Linked DNA regions of Danio rerio. The protein of the gene in region 2 binds, or shares a complex with, the protein of the main gene of each other region. Links are inferred from orthologs where the notes say so. Each region holds a gene or a part of one and is shown on either strand. Other genes may lie near its edges.

What was found. The genes of interacting proteins can lie anywhere in the genome.
Region 1: the proteins of fn1b (region 2) and col1a1b are in contact, whole or in part, in a crystal structure (PDB 3GXE), measured with the Homo sapiens proteins. The link is inferred for Danio rerio from reciprocal best matches to the Homo sapiens genes FN1 and COL1A1. Residues at the interface, in NP_997647.2 of Homo sapiens: Asp516, Gln517, Lys533, His535, Glu537, His539, Leu541, Gly549, Arg550, Gly551, Arg552, Trp553, Lys554, Cys555, Pro557, Gln560, Phe569; in NP_000079.2 of Homo sapiens: Leu261, Pro262, Gly263, Met264, Lys265, Gly266, His267, Arg268.

The regions. Positions count from the first base shown.
Region 1 is NC_133187.1:3,499,960-3,506,398, reverse strand, and holds part of col1a1b (collagen, type I, alpha 1b), read left to right. Parts: intron 1-512; coding exon 513-557; intron 558-1,156; coding exon 1,157-1,255; intron 1,256-1,757; coding exon 1,758-1,865; intron 1,866-2,850; coding exon 2,851-2,958; intron 2,959-3,121; coding exon 3,122-3,175; intron 3,176-3,634; coding exon 3,635-3,688; intron 3,689-3,770; coding exon 3,771-3,878; intron 3,879-3,966; coding exon 3,967-4,020; intron 4,021-4,880; coding exon 4,881-4,934; intron 4,935-5,282; coding exon 5,283-5,444; intron 5,445-6,391; coding exon 6,392-6,439. UniProt on the Homo sapiens protein: Type I collagen is a member of group I collagen (fibrillar forming collagen).
Region 2 is NC_133176.1:6,923,180-6,929,618, reverse strand, and holds part of fn1b (fibronectin 1b), read left to right. Parts: intron 1-939; coding exon 940-1,108; intron 1,109-1,200; coding exon 1,201-1,377; intron 1,378-3,101; coding exon 3,102-3,230; intron 3,231-3,381; coding exon 3,382-3,471; intron 3,472-3,569; coding exon 3,570-3,764; intron 3,765-5,661; coding exon 5,662-5,940; intron 5,941-6,019; coding exon 6,020-6,283; intron 6,284-6,373; coding exon 6,374-6,439. UniProt on the Homo sapiens protein: Fibronectins bind cell surfaces and various compounds including collagen, fibrin, heparin, DNA, and actin. Fibronectins are involved in cell adhesion, cell motility, opsonization, wound healing, and maintenance of cell shape.

The sequences.
Region 1 (6,439 bases), on a different chromosome or scaffold from region 2:
CAGATATAATGTTAGAATTTTTATAATGTATTAGCGCTAAAAATCCTATTTAATTTATGTACCATTTGTTTGTTGTTTTAATTGTATATTTAACATTAAAATGTTCTTGCCATGAAAAAAGCCTTGGTTGCTGACATGGCATTAAAAAAACATTACCAAAACTGCTTCAGACAACTGCATTATAACAATATTTGCACAACTTTTATTACTGTAGTTTCTGGAATCCCTCAGGCTCATTTGTATGAAGAGTTTTTGAGTATAATATGTCACGGTTTACTTCATTTTGCTATCCTCATTTACATAAATAAACTATAGTGTCCTGTACAACAATACAAACAAAATCCAAACAATTATAGCTGTTGTCTGAGTTTTTTTGTTTGTTTTACTGTATGCTTGCTGTATGGAGTTTAGGTTAAGTCACCATAATCAAGCGTATTGTAAACAATCATTTCATATTAAAAAAGCCAATCAGCATTTAATCTGTGTTATTGATTATGTTGATTGTTTAACAGGGTCTTCCTGGTGAAGCTGGTCCTTCTGGCCCTTCTGGTCCCAGAGTGAGTATATTCACATAAATATCCTTCATCTCAATCTGTAATACACACCTCTGTTTTCCGCTTTTGCACTTATTAAATGTATTCGCACTATTACTGATATATATATATATATATATATATATATATATATATATATATATATATATATATATATATATATATATATATATATATATATATATATATATATATATACATATATACATATATAGGAAATTCTTTTTGTATCTGTATGTTGTTTTTCAATTAACAACATACTTTAAAACAAAATATAGATGCAAAAGAAAGAAAAAGAAATAAATAGAAAAGCAATATTTTATAGTATGAAATGATGTAAAAGCTGTTTAAAAATATATATATTGCTTGATTATTTCACATTTTAAAAATGTAGTGTTATACATTCCATGCAAATCAAACGCTATTGGCTATTTTTTTAAAGGGGAGGAGCTACTCTATGCCCCTCCCTGTCTTTGTCAGACATCACACAGTACTGCACATTTCAAAGCACTTCACAGCACCTTTAAATATAAACAACTACAGTAGTTTCTGTTTACTTGTAATGAAATACAGTAGAGTAATGTTGTAAATGTCTCCCGTAGGGTGACCGAGGTTTCCCTGGTGAGCGTGGGTCCCCTGGACCTGGTGGCCCAACCGGCCCTCGTGGAGCCCCTGGATCCCCTGGTAATGATGGTGCAAAGGTAAGACTCCTGTTTCAATAACATAATGAGATATATATTTGTATTCCCGTCATCAGTACTAAAAAATTAAATAAATAAAAATAATAACTTGACATAGAATTTAAATATCGGAACTCTCTAGGAATTTAAAGGGATAGTTCACCCAAAATTGAAAATGTACTCAATATTTACTCTCCTTCAAGTGGTTTTGTTCGTCTAAAAACAAAAGAAGATAGTTTGACAATGTTGGTAACCTGTAAACATTGCCATCGATAGTTGGAAAAACAAATACTATAGAAGTCAATAGTCACCGGTTTCCAACATTTTTCTAAATATCTTCTTTTGTGATCAACAAAAAAACAGAACTCATAAAGGTTTAACACAAGTAAAGATTGTCCTTTTTGGGTGAGAGCTTGTAAGTTTATCTGGATAAAAGCATTTACAAAATTAATAAATGTATGGCAAATGTAAAATGCAGTACAGAGATGTCAGAGAAATAACCTGATGCTTTTTGTGTGTTCAGGGAGAGCCTGGTGCCGCTGGAGCCAACGGTGGTGTCGGACCCGCAGGGATGCAGGGAATGCCCGGAGAGCGCGGTGCTGGAGGAATGCCCGGAGCCCGAGGAGACAGAGTAAGATTATTACACTCATTCATCTGCAGCATTTTGACATTCTACCATCAGATATTTGTGCAAAATGATATCCGAGTTAGCGTTCATGAGTGTTGGGGATAGATGGATGGATAGATAGATAGATATAGATAGATATAGATAGATAGATAGATAGATAGATAGATAGATAGATAGATAGATAGATAGATAGATAGATAGATAGATAGATAGATAGATAGATAGATAGATAGATAGATAGATAGATAGATAGATAGATAGATACAAAATGCACATTATAGACTTAATTATATGTAGACTTTAGTTGTCCATCACATGTGTACACTGTAAAAAGTGTTTAGTTGATTTTACTTTTAAAAAGTGAGTAGACCCATTATCAATTATTAGGTAAATGTATGAAAAAGTATGTGCATAATTCTAAAAAATTAAGTTACATGAACTTAACATTTATAAATTACAACAGAACCAACATTTATTTAAGTAAAATCAATTAGTCACTTTTACGGTAATGGATTTACTCGTTTATTTTAAGTAATAGCTGTTTACAGTGTATAAATGGCCAATAATACATTGTAAAAACACAAAATTATATTGTTTTTAATTAGGTTTAGATCATGCTCCATGAAGATATTTTGAAAATTCCCTACAATTAATATGTCAAATATAATTTGTGATTAGTGATATGCTTTTCAAAGAACTTTAAAGGTGATTTTCTCAGTTGGGGTTTTAAAAATGTTCATATTCCAGATATTCATATAGATATATCGCAACTAAATATTGTCCTATCCTAACAAACCATACATAAATAGAGAACTGTAAAAGATTTATTGACCCTTATGACTGCTTTTGTTGCCCTTACTTAACCTAAATTGTCTTTTAATATTTCATCCAATGATTCTTGTTCTTAATATGACAGAACGTTTCGGTACATTTTCACCTATTTCAGTATAGCTTTATAAACAGTATTGATGCTGTGCTTTCTCTTTAGGGTGATGGTGGTCCTAAGGGTCCTGATGGTGCTCCTGGCAAAGATGGCGTGCGTGGCATGACCGGCCCTATTGGACCTCCTGGACCCAGTGGTGCTCCTGGTGATAAGGTAAAGACATATGAAACATTTATTAGATAGCATTGAAAGATTAACACCAATGTTGTCAAGCAATTACGTTTCAGCTTCAAAGTCATTTTAAATTGGTCACTTAATAAAAGGATAAAAGAATAATGTTGATACTAAATCAGCTTTGTATTTGGATGTGTTTTAGGGAGAGCCTGGTGCTGTTGGACCCCCAGGATTGACTGGACCTCGTGGAGGCCCTGTAAGTTATTACAGAAATTAAATATCTTGAAACATAGACATAAGGAGCAAAAGATAATGCTAACTTCCAAGCAGTTGCATGCAAAATGTATTAGCAGAATTAGCCTAGTGTATCATATTTGATCTACATTTTTAAGAATCTTTTGCACATAGTCTACTGCATGCCTTCTGATTTGTAAATCAGACTTTTATTTTGAAAATGGCACCTTTTTGCTCAGATTAAAATCAAGTATTTTTATTCTTATTTTTTTCATTATGTCACACTAGATAACCCGCAGAAGTCTAATGCATAAAATTTGAATAACTCAAACAAACATGCAAGCAATTTGTCATTTCTTTAGAGTTTATTAAATAAGTCATACAGGAGGTCCTGCTTCAAGCTTTGCACAGTATGTATGGGATTATATATAAACAATGTAGTGCATGTCACTGATGCATTTTGATTTTTGTCCTATCTCAGGGTGAGCGCGGTGAAGTCGGTGCTCCTGGACCTGCTGGTTTTGCTGGACCTCCTGTAAGTAAAGCAGTCTCTTCTCAATCATTTCCCACCATGAGGGGTTTCAATTTGAGGTTAACTATCTCTTCTCTTAATGCAGGGTGGCAATGGACAGCCTGGTGCTAAAGGAGAGACTGGAGACTCCGGACCCAAGGGTGACGCTGGAGCTCCTGGACCTGCTGGACCCGTTGGAGCTTCTGGACCACAGGTAATATCATCAGCATTAGAAGCAGATAAACTTTTTTTTTTGTTGGTGTTGATATAAGTGTTGTTAACTTATTGTTTGTTGTTGATAGGGACCTGCTGGTGCTACTGGACCTAAAGGTGCTCGTGGTGGTGCTGGACCTCCTGTAAGTGTGTTTTTACGCACTATTTATTGCATTATTACAATTTATTACACACTAAAAAGAACAATTTTACTTTCACTACCAAGTTATTCAGTGTTTTTTATTAAATTGTAATTTTAATAATGTATTTTTTTATTATTATGTCAGTTTTTTTTTTTTTTTTTGCTTATTTCTAGTGTTGTTTTACCTATTTTAGTATGTTATGTTGTAATATATATATAGTTACTTTTTTATACTAGATCCTCCACATTATACGTATCCATATAAAATTAAAACAGAATATTTGCTTTCATAATTATAGAATACAAGTTATGTATATATATATATATATATATATATATATATATAATTTTTTTTTTTTTTTTTCCTCTCCTTGGTCTACTTACACAATACACAGTTTTCTGAGAAAGTAATAAAAATAAATTTTAAAAAAGTAAATAAAAAAGAATAGTTTAGAATTACAGAATATATACGTAAACTCAAATAATATATACAAAATATATACCTAAACTCAAATAATATAATAGTTTTTAAAATTAAGACTATCATTTATTTTTGTTGTTTAGATTACTATTAGTATTATTATTAGTTGTAGTAGTATTAGCATTAGTATTAGTATTATTATGATATTAATTAACTAAAATTAGCCTCACACTTAAAATGCATGACTTTCTTTGCAAAAAAATATACATGTTTTGTTTCGTAAACTATGCATTTCTGACATTTTATGATATCAAATGATATGTAATGCAATCATAATAATTTTTAAATCTCTTTTTGGCATCATTTTCCCCACAAAATGCTATTGCAGTGTGTCTTTCAGGTTGTTTTATAGCAGTCTGTTCGTGTTTTTGTTTTATTAGGGTGCTACTGGTTTCCCTGGTGCTGCTGGTAGAGTCGGACCTCCAGGCCCCTCAGTAAGTATTATTCATTCTAAGCCAGGTCTAAATCCGGCTTTGCCAAAAATAGAGTGCTAAAAATAGCGATTGCAAAAATACAGCTTATAAATTTAAATAGTAAAATATTTACTTTACTTTTTTATGTGAATTTCATGTGGCCACTAGAAAATAGACATATTGTAAACTTGTGAATATGATATAAAATAAAGGGGTCGGCTTGCAAAATATATTTGTGAATCTCTGATTTAAGCAAATGTTTATGACTGACTTCATACTTTATGTAGCATTACTAGCTTCTCTTAGTCTTTGTTTTTTTTTTTTACTTTAGATTAATTTAATTTAATGCCTTCTGTTTGTCAATCTCAGGGTGCTTCTGGACCCCCTGGACCTACTGGTCCTGCTGGTAAAGAGGGACAAAGAGGAGCCCGTGGTGAGAAGGGACCCGCTGGCCGTCCTGGAGAGGCTGGAGCTGCTGGACCCCCAGGACCCTCCGGAGAGAGGGGTAGCCCTGGTCCCGATGGTCCTCTTGTAAGTAATCATATTTCCAACACTTCCAATATTGTCATTATACAGCTTAGTTTGGCTTAATGTTAATTCAGTTTAGTTCAATGACAAGATCAGCTTTAAATTCAGCTAAAGTTCATTCAGTTTGTTTCACAAATGTTTATATATTGCAGATAGAGGATATTACAATGATTACAGATTTTGTTGGTGTGATTATTGTCTGAGGAATAATCACAGTTTCAAGGTTAACAGGATTACTATACATTCATTAATTTTATAACACTATTATTTCATAAAATGACATGAAAACTACACAGTATATTAATAACACACAATAGAGTCAATTTCTCTCCTTAAAATAAAACTTTTTGACATTAACAACTAATAATTTCATTTATTTAACTGAAAATAACTAGCAATCAAAATAAAAATCTGTTTGGAATTAAATATACGAGACATAAATCTAACAAATGTAGATAAATGTAATCTAGAAGCCTTTTTTAATCTACTGCATTACAACATTGTTCTGTATTTTAATTTTGTGCATTTTTTCTAGATCTTTTAGCACCCAAATAATAATAAAAAAAACTCTAGCTACCTTTTGACTTCAACGATATACTTGCCTTTTGAAAAATACAGTACAATGAACATAAATAAAGCAACGAAACAAGGTCCACATCTCTGGAATTTAATAATTTCATTTCATGCAACAGAAATGCAGTAAAGCTAAGCCTTTACAGTTGATTAACCATGATGAATCAAAGCACAATTAATAGTGAAATTGGTTAATCACTGCATCCCTATTTGCAGTTAATCAATTATGAACCTATATCTGAACCGCTCAGATATCAATATGGTCATTAACCAGCTCACTATAGTTAAATTGTTGTTCATGCAATAGTGTCAGTGCAGTGCAAACACATGATGTCTTTGAATCTTAATGGTCTTTTATACCTCTTTCTTGTCTTTAGGGTCTCGCTGGAGCTCCTGGACCCCCTGGTGTTATTGGATCTCGTGGT
Region 2 (6,439 bases):
ATTTTAAGTTAATTTACATGCAGTGTCTCGTCTCTCAGACTCAGACTCAACTTTATTATTCTGTTTAGGGAAACTAAAATTCCAGCAAGGTGCCGTAACACAGGCGAAGTTCCATGTACACATGAACATAATATTACCACACAACATGCATCATTTTTAGGTGCGTCTCCCTCCCTGCTGGACTCATTTAATGACTTGATGGCCACCAAAAGAAAGTCTAATTGTACTTGTCCTGCAAATAGGAACTCTAAAGCGATGTCCAGATGGCAGCAGCTGAAACACCGAGTACAACGGGTCATCCGGGGTGCATAGGACACCCTGGGCTCTCTTTAAAAAATGTTTTAAATCTCTTTGAATTACCATTGGACCAGTTTGGTTAAAACTAATAATAATCTTGCCTGCCACCTTCACAAGGCTAACCAACCTGTTCTTATTTGACAAACTCTTTACTGTGCCAAGCTACAATGCAAAAAAATCAAACAGGTTCAATAAATAGTTTATTAAACAGTGTCATCATAGAGGTAAAAATCCAAAGCAATCTAAGTTTCCTCAGTCTTTGTTGAACTGTTTTAAAGACAGTCGGTCTCTAAAATAACCATGTGAATGCTAAAGAATCAGAACTAACTGTATCAGTTTCTTTATTTAGTCTAGATCAGGAGTGCCCAAACTCAGTCCTGGAGGTGCCGGTGTACTGCAGATTTTAGCTTCAAGCACAGTAAACACACCTGGATCAAGCTCTATCTAGGTATACTAGAAGCTTCCAAAAAGCTATGTTGAGGCAAGTTGGAGCTAAACTCTGCAGGACACCGACCCTCCAGGACCAAGTTTGGGCACCCCTGGTCTAGATCAAACAAACCAAGGTAACCTAACTACTAATGTGAACACTTGAGCCCTATTTTTTTTTTTTTTTTTAAGTATGTAACTTCTTCCATTTGACAGAAAAATACACGCACACCATGGAAGGAGGTCACTATTCCTGGCCACATCAACTCCTACACCATTTCAGGCCTCAAAGCAGGTTTGACGTATGAAGGCCAGTTGATCAGCATTCTGCGCTACGGACCAAGAGAGGTTACTCGGTTTGACTTCACCACCACATATGGCTCTCGTATGTAGCTTTACATATGTATTATCTTTACTCCCTTTTCTTCAGTAATTTCCAAAAAGAAAAACAACTTCAAACAACTTCTTGTTCTCCAGTGGCCAAAGCAGAGGGTGAGACCACCCAGCCTCGACAAGTAGTGGACACCTCAGAGTCTGTTACTGAAATTACCTCCAACAGCTTTGTCATCTCCTGGGTATCTGCATCTGACACAGTGTCTGGATTTAGAGTTGAATATGAACTCTCAGAAGAAGGAGCTCAGAAACGTGTGCTTGGTGAGTACAGTTGAAGATATTCCATTGATAACAAAATGAATAGGAGAAATATCAATACTCTACAACCACTATGAAGATCATGGATATATACACTAGATATCGCATAGGAACCCTGAGCATGCGTCAATAGCGCCGCCACATTGGTACAGTGCTCCCGGGACAAGTGTCATTCAACCGCACTAGTCAAGACAGTGTTATTACGTCAAGATGCGGGACTTTAGCGCTGTCTACGGGTGTAGTAACGAGCAAACAAACAAAACAAAGCGCAAAGGCAGAACGTTTCATTGGTAATATTAATTTTTTTTCTGTTTTTGTTTGTTCTGAACTTTTGTGCTAATCAGGTCACGTTATTGATGATAACAGTCACTTACTGCATTCACCATATGGCAAAGCAGCACCAACTCGCACTAAACACTTGGCTTATGCTAGTTTTGTTTAATAAAATCAGCAAACAATGCAAAAGAAATTTGAAAACGAGATGCTGCGCTGCCAGAAACTTGTCGGCTAACGTTAGTGAAAGAGTCGTTCGGGGGATTCATTCACAAACGAGTCGCTCCCTTTGTCAGTATGGGAAGTGAAAGCAGGAGAGGAGGTGTGTTTCAGGACACGGATTAGATTAAATTTAACAGGGAGGGTGAATAGTACATTTCTGTACACACAAGCTTTTTGTCAGGAATGCCCGTGCGGTCACTGATCCATCAATGTAGAAAAGTGATGTAAAATTATAATTTTCGTAATTAGAAAAAAAAATACATACTAACATCCAGGAAAACTCCCGATCATAGATATATGTGTATATCTCTGGCTTTGGGTGGCCACAGTCCTCCACTGTACCTTGGTCCCGCATTCATTTTAAAGGAGCGCTACCCTGTAGCAAGATGGCGGCGCTTTTGACGCATTCCGTCCAATAGACAACAGTAGGCCAGGCGACATCTAATGTATATATCTATGAATAAAGATGGCAGTAGCTGTCTGCAGCTCTCACATGGTCACCCATTACAGCCAAGTAGGGTTGTGTCCGGATAGTACCTCGATGGGATACTACATGGGAAAACTAGATTACAGCCAGAAGAGGTGCTCGTGAGGCCAGTAGGGGGTGCTTACTCTGTGTGGATCCTATTGCCCCAGTATAGAGCCGAGAGACTAGATTGTCAGTGTACTATCCTTCGGAGGTCCTGACTCTCTGTGGTCATTAAAATTTCAAGGATGTCCTCTGAAATAAATAGGAGTGTGTCCCTGGTATCTTGGCCAAATTTGCCCAGTGGCCTCTGTCCATCATGGCCTCTTAACTATCCACATATTATCTAACTGACTTCATGGCTCCTCTCCATCAATAAGTTCAGAATGCACTGACTGGCTGCTGTTGTGTCTTCCAGGTGGATGCTGCACACTGATGATAGTTGTGGATATCTCCAAAAAAAAAATCTGTAAAGTGCTTTGAGTCCCCTGAAAAGTGCTATATAACTGCAACAAAATATTAATATTATTAATCAACAAGATGACTGTGAGACATTTTTTGCTTTAGAAAGCCTATTATGACTAGCTCGTCCAATGATAATTTTGGCTAAAGAATCCATTTGTGATGTCATTTTTGTCAGATTAGAATCAATTCAATTTAGTTTGATTTGCTCTGGTATGTTAAATAAAAAGGTTACATCCTTTTCTCACGAAAATGATGGCATTCAATATATTGTATAATTTCTCAATTTGTCCCCATTGTGCAGACCTCCCAAGAACAACTACATCAGTGAACATTCAGGATCTTCTGCCTGGCCGTAGGTACAACGTTGATGTTTATGAAGTCAATCCAGAAGGAGATACAAAACTCATCCTGACTACAACTCAAACCACTGGTAAGATCACTGTATGTAGTGTCTTAGTTCCTGCTTACAACAGCAAAACCTTTTTGATTGTTCAAAATTATATGTACTACACTTTTTAAAGATTCACATTTTAACCAGCCGTCAGAATGTGCCTTCAAATGAATCTCCTATCTATTCACAGCACCTGATGCTCCAACCAATCATGAGGTCTCAAATGTCCAGGAGACCTCCATTGTGATCAGATGGTCCAAACCCAAAGCACCCATTACTGGTATAAGATATGCAAACCAACATTTGGGATTTAAGAATGTCTTATAAAGTTGTCTTTTGAGCATGGTGTATTGGAATGTGGAATGAACTCTTTTTCAGGCTATCGTGTGGTGTACACACCCTCAGTCGAGGGCAGCAGCACTGAGCTCATCCTCCCTGAGACTCAGACATCGGTGACACTGGGTGACCTACGACCTGGCCTGTCATACAATATCAGCATTTACTCAGTGGAAGACAACTTGGAGAGCGAACCTTTGGTCCTGCAGGCAAGCACAGCTGGAGAGCAACAGCCCGGTAAGAGCTCCTTTTATGGAGAAGAGATTTTTCATTTTTATAGCTTTCTGCTGTTTCAGTTAGCCTGTTTGTCAAAATATTCTCCACTCACACGTTCCTAGTATTTTATCTCTGCATTAAGTTCAAAGAGCTATTATTAAGAGAATTTTACTAACTTTTCTCAAAGCTGGTAAAAATGCCCAAGTTTCTCACTCATGTGTAAAAATGTCTGTTCACAGTGAGAGCTGGCACTAGCAAATGTCTGAGCTGGGAGATTTAGAGCTTACTCAGGGCCAAAACAACCTTATAAGGATAACCAAGTTTCAAGTGTGTCTTTGGGGGCTCAAATGTCCAGTTGATGTCTTTTTAACCAAACACATGCTACTTTATGGGAACTGTGAAGTGGTTTCTTCCGTGAATGATCTTGTTTTCCATCTTAAAGCTCATACTCTACTATTTTTAAACAGTGCAAAAGCATACAGTGAAGATTTAGATGTTCCAGATTCAATTAATATTTTGTTGTATGAAATAAGCCTCACTATTTCTCTTGCTATGGTTAGGGATTTTCAACAGACCCTTAACCCAAGGTATACAAGTTCAAACACTAGTGGTGCAATGGTTCAATCAACTTATGTATCACACAACTATGTATCACAGTTTTAGGGTCCTGGTTTGATACGGTATGGTATCTGCTATGTTTAGAAAAAAAAATGGCTACAGAAAAATTCAAAGAAAAATGTACATATTTCTTGGGTAACAAACACCTGATAATGCAGCAGGATTCTGCAGCAAATTCTCTCAATTAAATAAAAGTAGGGATTAAATTTTGGAAATTTTATCTTTAAAAAAAATGCTTAAATTTCCCCTCAGTCTCAACCAATATGCAGATAATAACTGTGTTAACACATCTTAATAATTAAGCACTTTTAGAGTATTGATTACTTCCGTTTACATTATGGCCACATTACCAAGGTAACAATGCATTTTTATCAATAATGATTACAGAGAGCTCTATTATCGCTTATCAGCACCATCATAGTGAATGAAACTTAAGCAAAAAGAGAGCATTCGGCTTTTCTCACTTAATTCGGCGGGAACAGTTAGTCGAGAAAAAAAACTTTTCTAAGCAGACAGCGGGAAAACAGAGTAAATAAATATTAGGAGCAATCTGTTTGGAATAACCCAGCGGGGGCGTGACTGAAGTAACAGACCTGCTCCATGTCTGGGTCCGCATGGGACACTTCTGGGTCTGGACACCGACCCCTGATCTAGGGTATATTTGGCATTCTTTTTTTTGTGTGTGTCTCAATTTACATTAAGTGTCTGTTGAAACACTGATGGCAATGTGCTGTGGTCTCAGCTGCACTTTAGCGCCATGTGTTGTGCTGAACTCTCAGAAACTCCAAATACACATTGATATGTTAGGAAACATGATGTCAACAACAGATTTACATACTAAGATTTGATTGTAAGGTCTTCGCACGTGCAATACATGTGAAAGGTAACCAGAAGTGTACAAAGGGGGAGCGTTTTTGCTTTGTTGCAGCTGTTTTTATGAAGAAACTAAACATTAATAATGCATATTCTGAACTGCGGATCACAGGGCGAACTGAACTGTGGGAGGACAATAGGATGATTAGATTTTTTTTTACAGAGAACCATTGCATTCCTACCAAACCCTGCTACAAATTTTGTTCCCAGAACGTTCTGAGGACAACACCTAGTAAAGTTTCCAGAATGTAATGATCATGAGAGTTTTCTTTAAAGGGTTGGCGAACATTCATGATTCTGGAATTCATCAAATTTGGAAAAATGACATTTCCAGGATGTCCTCTCTTATTTGGAAAAGTTATTCTTCTACTTTCCTTTGTAGTAGAGTGCTAAAAGATTGCTATTTTGTTTTCCATCTTATCAACAGAGGAAATCCAAGCTCCCACAGACCTGCAGTTTTATGAGGTTACCGATGTCAAGATCACTATCACCTGGACTGGTCCTCCTAATGAGGTCTCAGGATACCGTGTGACTTTTGCACCCGTAAGCACAGATGGCCAGGCCCAGAGACCCCTTCAGCTTCCTGTGACACACAATGCTTATGCGGAGCTCATGCGCCTTCAGCCTGGCACACTCTACCGTTTCCATATTTATGCAGTCAGCGGAGGAGTGGAGAGTGAACCTCTGATCGGGGAGAAATCTACAAGTGAGTGTTTGAGTTTTCCAAAAGATCTTACATTTCGTTATTATTATGTCTATATCATCACAACATTCTCCTTCCTCAGAGCCTGATGCCCCTACTGACTTGCGCTTCACTGATATCACCGATGACAGCGCTCTGGTCATCTGGTCTTTCCCCAGAGCTCAGGTCACAGGTTATCGTCTCTTCATCAGCATCGGCAGCTCCAGTCCCAAACAGCTGAGAATTCCTGGCCACAAGTCTCAATACAAGCTCCCCAACCTTCAGCCTGACACCGAGTATAGAGTCACCCTGCACTCAGAGCAAGGAAACACTCTTAGCGAAGGAATTACTGATACTTTCAGAACAAGTGCGTAACCTTTTCTTCTGAGGCGAAACAAGTGCAGTAATGTTCTTCTGTGCCCTTAGAGAAGTATACTCTAATTTGCTTGTTTTTCAGCTCAGCCCACGGGTAATGCTCCTCGATTCAACACTGAAGTCACTGACACTGCTATCATCGTCACCT